Linked DNA regions of Nothobranchius furzeri. The protein of the gene in region 2 purifies or fractionates together with the protein of the main gene of each other region. This does not show direct contact. Links are inferred from orthologs where the notes say so. Each region holds a gene or a part of one and is shown on either strand. Other genes may lie near its edges. The genes, in order: ocrl and pheta1.

Region 1 (4,399 bases), on a different chromosome or scaffold from region 2:
CTTTGCGTAGACCATAGGACTATTATAACTTCAAAAACTGTCAAGACCCCTTTAAAGCATTTGCATATTGTACAGGATGAAGCAGTACAAATGTTGTTTGACCAATGATAACCACATTCGTCTCTCCTTCAGTTTTCCCGGAGCGAGTAGCTCTGTACTTCGTTTCTGGCATCTGTGCTGGACTGGTGTTCCTACTCTGCCTGTTTGGAATTCGCTCCACCATAGTGAGAGATGTTAAGGATCTGGTTTCTGACCTGAATGATCAGATAAAAGCATCACGCAGAAAGAGGAAGGAGCTCATAGACAACCTCTTCGATGAAGAAGTCTCAGACACCTCCTCCTTCTGTCGCCTCACACAGTCTTACCGTACAACAGATGTTCTCAGCCCGTCAGCTCTAACAATGGAGATGGTTGATGTGCAGCAGACGAGGGATTTGCCCATTGGAGACATCTGGCCACACCTGGACTCTAGTCCTTATGCAATTCACAAAATAAAAACCTATAACAGTTGTGTGAAGCCATATCCGGTGATTTAAAAGAGCAGAATACACACAGAGAGATATTTGATTGAATGTCACCTAACTTACACCTCTCTGAATTAACTATGTTCATAATGTAAAACACACAATAACAAGGAGTCATTGTGCTCTATTCAAACTACTATTTGTTCAGATTTGATTTGAACAAGTATGGTTTTATCCACAATGACATTTATCTTCTCTGATTTAGACTTTCTTTGTGTAAAGGAATGGACAAGGCTCAGATGAACTCTATCCATTTGATTGACTTTTCTTTAAAATATTCTGTTTCATAACTGTTCATTCTGGTGTTAGTCTCAAACAACTCCACAATAATAAAACGTTTCCAAGGAAACTGACTGAAAAGTTTTTTTAATACTCTCAACTGAATCTGTTTAATATGCAAGAAAAAAATCAAATATTGTTTTTTAAATATTTGTGTCTGTCTTGGACAACGTAATTTAGATTTTTAAGCAGAAAATATAAATAATTTGCTATTAGTTTGAAGCATTTGTTTTTGCGGCATGAAGTCGCCGGGTGTCTGTTCATCCTCCAGAACACTGGGGAGCGCTAAGTACCTTCATGCGAAGGAGTGCACTAAAATTGAAGTCTGATGAAGGCGAAGAACGACTAGTCTGGGTAGCTAGCTAGGGAGCAAACCCTGGGAGTCTTCGAAGTGTAGCATATCTGTGTGCTACAAACCACCCGATAACGTTATGTTGTCCGAGGGGTTTGTCTCTTGACACCGAGAGGGACACGAGAGAAACTGAACATTCTCATGTTTCTGACAGAATGATGGAAGTTATCAGGGGTTGTTTTAACTCCTAAATTCCATTAAACGTTTGTGAGACCTTCCAGCGGCAACAATAACAACAGCTGGCTAAAGGAGCGGTTAGCCAGCTTCCCGGAAGGAGGCCGCCACAGCGCCGGGTGGAGATTTAACTTTTTTTTTGCCTCAACATCTGCTCAACGTAAAGACCCTAAAAGTGATACGTATTTATTTATCTTGGTAAGAATGGAGTCCACGCTGGGGATTTGCAACGAAGAATGCTTGGCAATATCCTTAAAGTTGTGTTTGAATTGTATACGAGTTAGCGAATGAGTTATGAACAGCTAGCCATGTAAATACAGTTGATCAGAGGGCTAATTCACTAAACCGTTGTGAGATAGCTACTTAATGTTATTATTCGGGCTGATTTAAGAAAGAATTTTCTTTTCCACAAAAGCAGTGACACATCATTTATTGTGGCGACACATTTAGTTAATACTGGATAATTTCACCCAGTTTTATTTACCTTTCTTGTTATGTATTATGATTATGTAGCATCACATTCTATTTGCGATTATCCAGTGGTTGAAGTCACAGTAACAGCTAACACTAAGAACTGCTAAACACGGAGGATATGTGTAGCTTGTATTGCTAAAATTGCTTAGATACATATATTTTTGTTCTTTGCCGCTCCTCTACTGTACTGATGGGCTCGGTCAAACCCTGAATTCTTCCTTTCACGTCTGTGGATCTAGTGATCTAAGTCTCCGTTTTTTTGTGGATTGATCTGGCCCAGGTTTCTCCTTTTACCCTGGTTATGAAAAAGCCTCCAGGCTCAGGTTTCAAATGTTGTTTGTATAAAACAACCTGGTTTAATATTTGCCCCTGTTAGATTTTTGCTGCCACTGGCACTATTCTTTCTCTCTTATTTCACGTTGTTAATGCTTGTCATTAATTTCCTTCCTGATTTTCAGTTTGCATGGCTTCATTAACATCTTTCTTCAACTGAAGACAGACTTATTCATAATGATTTTCGAACACTGTTCCGGTAGTACTGGGTAACAGCTGTAGTTGTGATATCTCATCATCCATCTCAATGATTCCTTGATTGTGCTGCTCAAACTGTAAAAGCTCAGGAGCTGAGGTCTGGCCAGAAGGAGTCCAGGTTACTGTCACTAATTGAACACAATGGAGAGTTTAAGTAAGTATCAGAAATAACAATTACTGAAAGTATGTTGACATTGGGTTGTCCCAATGTCCCAAAGCTGTGTGTTTGTTGCTGAATCGCTTAATAACACAGTAAGGTGTTTTGTTTTATTATTGCTCCTGTTTAGTTTTGACTTCATTCAAATGAAACCCAAGTTGTTGAGAGCTGTCTTTGTCAGAGGAAGCTGCAGTTGACCTGAAGTGTGTGACCTGAGCAGAATTATATGGGTATACAGGAGCTGCTTCATCAGTTAACCTTTAACAAGTTACTTTCCTGTTCCATAATCAAAAATAGAGCTCTTAACATTCAATCGAGCTGTTATCTTGTGTTTTATGAAGTTCTTAAACACACTTTGCACTAGACTGCTGTCACACTGATGGAATCTTAAAATGTGCAAATGAAAATTCAAGTTATTTTGATGTTGACCGGGATAACCAACATCGGTCTGTGTTTTCTATCCTGAATGTCAGATTTATTTGTCTTTTTGAGTTATCTCAGGCTGGTGGCTATTTTAAATCCAGGATGTTTAACTGAATGAGCATGCCCCTTTACACACACACACACACACACACACATACACACACACACACACACACACACACACACACACACACACACCACTCTTGTCACTACACAGATTAGCTCTTAGGTGTAAAATAACTGGATGCCATGTGGGCAGAACGTGGTTTCTGTGAGCTGGACAGCTCCAGGGCTTATTTGGTGAAAGGAGACTTTGTGTGTAGACAGTAGGGAGATGTTTAATCATATGTGTAGCTTGGAGTTACTTTCACCAGCAGTAACCTCACTGCAGATTATCCAGAATTCCTTCACTTCATCTTTAGCTGTAATGAGACTCACATGGGCACGCAGGCTGCAGGCTGCAAGCCCACACAAGCCACCAAAGAGTAATGTCATGAAGAGGGAAAAAACCATTATGAATGTTTCAAAATAGACATGATTTATTTTAAATGATTGAAAGATTTTGCATGACATAAGGCATTACCTGAGGTTCATACCAGTGTTCTGTGCCTTCGGTGTGTTTTTCTGTGGTATTTGCTTTTATGCACTTCTGTACATTGGCTTGGGATACAATCAGTACCAGTTTGTGGTACACAAATTATGGGATTATTGACACAATAATCTGGATAAAACAGACAAAACTGGAGGGTTTGTCACGTCAGGCTCTAAAATGTACAAATGGAGAATAAAAAAAACCATTTTGTTTCCTGTTGAATATTCTGTTGCGTTTACATCGGAAGTTCTCATCCTGACAGATTCGGGAAACTGCTTCTGACACATTTTGCCCAGCAGTCCTGAATAATTGTCCTCTCCACTATAATCAGACCAAGTGAAGGGGAAGAGTGGGCAGTGAGTGCCCAGGAAGACTCTTTGTCCTCTGCTGTTAGTCAGATGTTAGTGAGCACAGGAATGTGACCCTGCCTACATAAACCTACATCATGCTTCTGAAGCCGTTTGTGTCAACAGTTTGATAATTTAACACTTTAATCTTCTTTATATGCTCAGTGGATTTGTATTGATTAACTGAATGATGCACAGTGCTTGCTAGTTATTGTTTTTGTTGTGTGCCACTAAAGAGAGGTTTTGCATGTGTGTTTTTTCAATTTCTATTGTTCATGATAATTAAAGCACATCTTGACTCCATCTTCTCTGTTCTAATGTTAAGCACCCTGCATGAACGTCAGTGCTAGCAGCAATGTTTTTTATATATGTGCTTTATGTTTAAGATGGAAAATCTTGATATTAAAATAAACAACAGTTGTGATAAGGCAGAATGCTTGCTGTTTCTACACAGACTGGGTGTTCTGGCCAACCCTGAAGCTGTTGTGTCCCGTCCGGTGGCTCAGTTGTCCATACCCATTAATGATAAATTTGAAATTGTACGAG
Region 2 (4,583 bases):
TGAAAAAACTCCGTTTTCGTGTGGATGACAGGCCAAAACGTAGAAAAATATCTACGTTTTGGCAGATCCCCGGCTACGTGTGGACAGGGCCGGAGTTTCCCTACAACACCAAACACCTTGAACCACCTGATTCCTGCAGATTTGCATTTCCTCTCCAGCAGTAAATATTAGGTTCTCTCAATTACAATCACTGAGCTGGGGTCATTTTTGTTATTTTAATTTTATTAGGAATTTCAATAAACTAAGTAGATCTGGTTGCATGTGCAACTTTTTAAAAAAATATATAAGAAAATTGCTTTTTTCCCCCCAAATGAAATATACTAAATGAAAAAAATTGAGATGTGCGATTCCTATAAGAACGACTGATTTGATTGTGTCTAAGTAGTGTTTTACACATTCTGTCCTGAAAAGTCTTGCAGCAAAACGGTGAAAGAGTAGCATTTGTTTTTAGATTGTAGACAGAATAGTGTTGATTTTTTTTTTTTATCTTCTGTGGAAAAAGAAAAACCTCAGAAATGTTTGTTTTAGTGATAACACTTAAGAGCTCCAAGTGCTTTCATCTTCCTGAAACTCAGAAAGCACTGGAGGATGACCGGAAAGGAAGGTCCGAACTAAGGAAAAACGGTCCTCGCCGGCCTACTGGCTCTGAAGCCACTGTGCTCGAAGTTCCTCGACCTCTTTGCCGTACCAGTCGTGAAGTTTGGAGAAGCAGCCAGTCCCAGGGGAAACCGGGCTCTCCAGCGACGCTCCGAACCTCCGCGGGGGCACTGGTGGAGCCCTTACTCCATCAGCTCCACAGCCAACAATATTTCCAGAGTCTCCACAGCCTTTCCAGGCCAGGCACGATGAAGCTCCTTCAACAAAACCATTAACCAAGGCAGCTGGCGGTTTATTCCATGCAACTCCGTTCTCCCTGGAAATTCCAGAGATGAGCTGTACCTCATCCTGAAGGTTCTTCTGGGCAGAGCAGAGAGCGGTCATGGAAGGGGCACTCGATGCTGATGAAAGGGAAGACGAAGACGACGACGACGAGGAGGATGCTCCAGATCTGATGCGTGCTGACTGTTTCCCCCTAGAAGACTTAGGCTTACCCTGCTGGGCTCCAATCCCAGAGGCCTCCTGGATCTCCTCCAGCTGCCTCTCCAGCTCCTTCACCACCAGCTTCATGTAGTCAAAGCTGGCCCTCGAGAGCGCCTTCACCCACGACTCCATGGCAGCCTGGTTCTCTGCTGCCATCTTGTACACCCGCGCCTTTGCACAGTCAAACTTGACAGCAAAGGCAAACTCCTCAGCCGACTCGCACAGCTCCACCGTGCATCCCTCAAGGACGATGACGCCGATGGGCTCCCGGCTGTCGCGCTCCTCAAAGTAGAACAGCATGTTGCCCTTCAGGATGAACCAGCGTCGATGATAGGCCGTGTTCCGCTCGCCCTTTTTGAAAAGGAAGCCAGTCTTGTCCGGCGGGGTGTCACAGGTGGCATAGTGAGCCACGCTTCGCTCATTCAGCTTCATCTTCCCCTGTTGCTAAGTCTTTATTTACCTGAAAACCAAAAAAAGATGATGTCACACCAAGGATTTAAGGATTCTCTCGTCCGTGCCATGTGAGTCTGCAGTGTTTTATTTAAGGACGTTTTTAAATAAAGGTTTGATGGTCAGATTACAACATCAGGTGTAGTATAATAACAGGTTTGGTGTTGTACTTCCTGGTAGGTACTTTTTACTATCTGACCATCTCATCCTAGCTGTGTTTATACTTCTGTTTTAACACAGAACTGTACACCATGGACGTAATTTTCACTTTAGAAGTTGGGGGAACACGCGGGGGGGGGGTATCTTTACAGTATGCTCTAATGGGAAACAGGCTTCAACACAAACGGTTGTTTTCTGCTTGGTCCTAGAGCTCAACCAGTGTCAATTTAATATAAAGTAATATTGTTTTTGGATGGTAAAAAGTGCAGGGGTCAAAACTTGACTTCGGAAAAAGTGGGGGGGACATGTCCCCCCCCGTCCCCCTCCAAAATTACGTCCATGCTGTACACAGAATACTCTAACCAAATCAAAGAGTGTTGTTTTTGTGTCCCACACTACAAATCACACGTTCAATAGAAGGAGACCTTCCTACTTGGTAAACAGCTACTAATCCAACTTATTATAGGCTAAAAATACTTTTAAACCCTGGTAGAATATTTTATATTATTTTCCTACATTTGCCGCTACAGTTAAAAACAGGATAGTTGGATTAAATGTCTACAGTGAACGTTAATATTTTAAAATGAAATAAGTTGGTTTTACTTACATGCTCATCTCATATCCTGGTGACATCCACCCCCAGTGCTCCCATCACATCTGGACCAATAAACTCACTAGTTCTTCATATTCTTCCATTCCTCGAGAAAAGATCGTTTTGACCGGGGTTAGACACAAATCCACTCATCGTCCCTCACCCACGAGTGGACCAACAAAGATAAAGAGAAAAGGTCTCCAGGTTCTGACGAAAACGCTAACATTTAGGGGATCTAGTTGTCCTTTTATGGCCACCTCGGCTTGCTAATGGTGTCTGGATGATTCAGCCCAGCGGTTTGCTAGTAGGTCACAAGCATTTTACGCATCAGCAGTTTCCTAGACCTCATCTCCGCCGACTAAACAGTTTCATTTCAAACAAAAAACACTCCGAAGGATCGGCTGCTTTCCGTAAAAACTCGTCTGCCTGCGTGGTTCCGACGAGCTGTTGTGGTTTCAGCCACCGTGCGGGCTCTAATGTACACCAGCTGTGAGTGAACCGGAACTGGACGCTCAACTCACAAGTTATAAAAGCAGAATTTGAACAAAATAAGTGTACCTGTGGATGAAACGACTCCCTTCTGACTCCTTCACAACCTCCAAGTTGATCTTAATCGAGTTCTTCATCTCCCCTTTTGTTTTTTTTTTCCTGTCACGTGACTAGGAGAAGCATGCACTCGTTGTGTTATCCAGCTAGCTTGAGTGGGCGGTGTCGCAAACCCCCTGACCTGAACTTCATCGCCGTCGTGGCATCGCACTTGTTATCGGGACAACTGGTGACTAAAAACACGCGCACCTTGTCTATGCTCTTGGTGATTTGGTTGAAGCTGCTGCTGCATTTACTCTAAATGTGTATACATATATATGTACACATTATATATATATATATATATATATATATATATATATATATATATATATATATATATAATATCTCCAAGCCTCATTTACCAAGCTTTATTTTAAATGTTATATAAAAGGTAAATACATGCAAACAGAGCCTGTCTGCAAAGGCTAGCCATAACATATTTCACAGTTCCATATATTCAGATATAAAATAGATAGTTCCATATAAAACAGATATATGTATATATATATATATATATATATATATATATATATATATATATATGTTTTCTTTGCATTTATTTTTTATTTAAACATTTAAAATAAAGTTTGGTAGATGAGGCTTGGAGATATTGTCTTTGAAAGTCAGTAACAACACTAAATAAAGACCCTGTTGGTGACATGAAATTGCCCCCCTAGGAAAGTACAATAAATAGTTTGGTCAATTGAAAGTATTTTTCATCACGTGAATATAAATCTACTGAAAATAATGTTTTTAGACATTGTACATGCTCTAAAAGTTTGCTCTAAAACAAGTTTGCAGTTCTGGATTTATTATTGACATGTTAACTGTAAGCAGTGTTAACATAACGCAACCACTGGAAGAAAAAAAATTCTGATTTGATTGCTTGCTATCAAGTCGTCTGAGCTCTAATATTTTTTAGAAGCTTATTTGTTTAGAACAGGCTGAAACTGTTTCTTTAAGCTGAAACTCACATATTTAGTAAAGTAAAATCTGTCTCAATCTGTTTGGTAAACATATAATTTTATTTCTCAAATATTAATGTTTATTAAATTCTTTCAAAGTCATCACTTTCTACTTCAGTCAAACTGCACATTTAAAATTACCATGAGTAGTGAGCTCATTCCATGTGACTACAAGCAGCTGCATTACACAGCTGCCCTCTTTAGTTATATAATTTGTTCAAGAGTAAAAAGTAAAATATGCATTTTTTTCTTTGCTAATTTCACATCACATTATTTCTGGATCCTGGGTTAGGAACTCTCCCAACTACGTCGTTGTCCTACCACGCTGCTCTGTAACCTTGCCCCTTATTTTAATGGCGCCGAGCTGTGAGCCTGCAATGAGAATATCGTGCAGACAGTTCATGACCTCTAGCGTCTGCCATCTTGCTATCTCACCACGCTAATCTTCAGCTAACAGATGTGGCCGCTGATGCCATTTACTGTAGCTTTTCTCTTTTAGGGAGAGTTGGCTCACACTGCAAGTACGCTTTGGAGTCGATATATTTTCCTCTATGTGGCACAGGGTTCGTGGTGCTGCGACACTGTAAGAGAATTGCGCGGTTTCTCAAACTGGCAAAATAAAGGAATCAACGTTGAAATGAGTGTTACAAGTAGACACGTATGCCAACACGGAGTGCAAAGTGTTTACTTCTCACAAATTAGTTTCAAAGAGTTCAGTAAACCACAAGAAAAAATTCACTGACAGCTTT

The links.
Region 1: the proteins of pheta1 (region 2) and ocrl purify together in Homo sapiens (co-immunoprecipitation; 5 studies listed by BioGRID and IntAct, counting the BioPlex papers as one, with this or other methods). This does not show direct contact. The link is inferred for Nothobranchius furzeri from reciprocal best matches to the Homo sapiens genes PHETA1 and OCRL.

Annotation. Positions count from the first base shown.
Region 1 is NC_091741.1:85,248,111-85,252,509, forward strand, and holds the start of ocrl (inositol polyphosphate 5-phosphatase OCRL), read left to right. Parts: upstream 1-1,356; 5' UTR 1,357-1,533; coding exon 1,534-1,574; intron 1,575-2,407; coding exon 2,408-2,488; intron 2,489-4,307; coding exon 4,308-4,399. Other genes in the region: si:ch73-335m24.2 (protein eva-1 homolog C), read left to right, coding at 133-536. UniProt on the Homo sapiens protein: Catalyzes the hydrolysis of the 5-position phosphate of phosphatidylinositol 4,5-bisphosphate (PtdIns(4,5)P2) and phosphatidylinositol-3,4,5-bisphosphate (PtdIns(3,4,5)P3), with the greatest catalytic activity towards PtdIns(4,5)P2.
Region 2 is NC_091757.1:53,618,320-53,622,902, forward strand, and holds pheta1 (sesquipedalian-1), read right to left. Parts: upstream 2,952-4,583; 5' UTR 2,840-2,951; intron 2,476-2,839; exon of another isoform or gene 2,388-2,475; 5' UTR 2,297-2,387; intron 1,541-2,296; 5' UTR 1,513-1,540; coding exon 637-1,512; 3' UTR 431-636; downstream 1-430. UniProt on the Homo sapiens protein: Plays a role in endocytic trafficking. Required for receptor recycling from endosomes, both to the trans-Golgi network and the plasma membrane.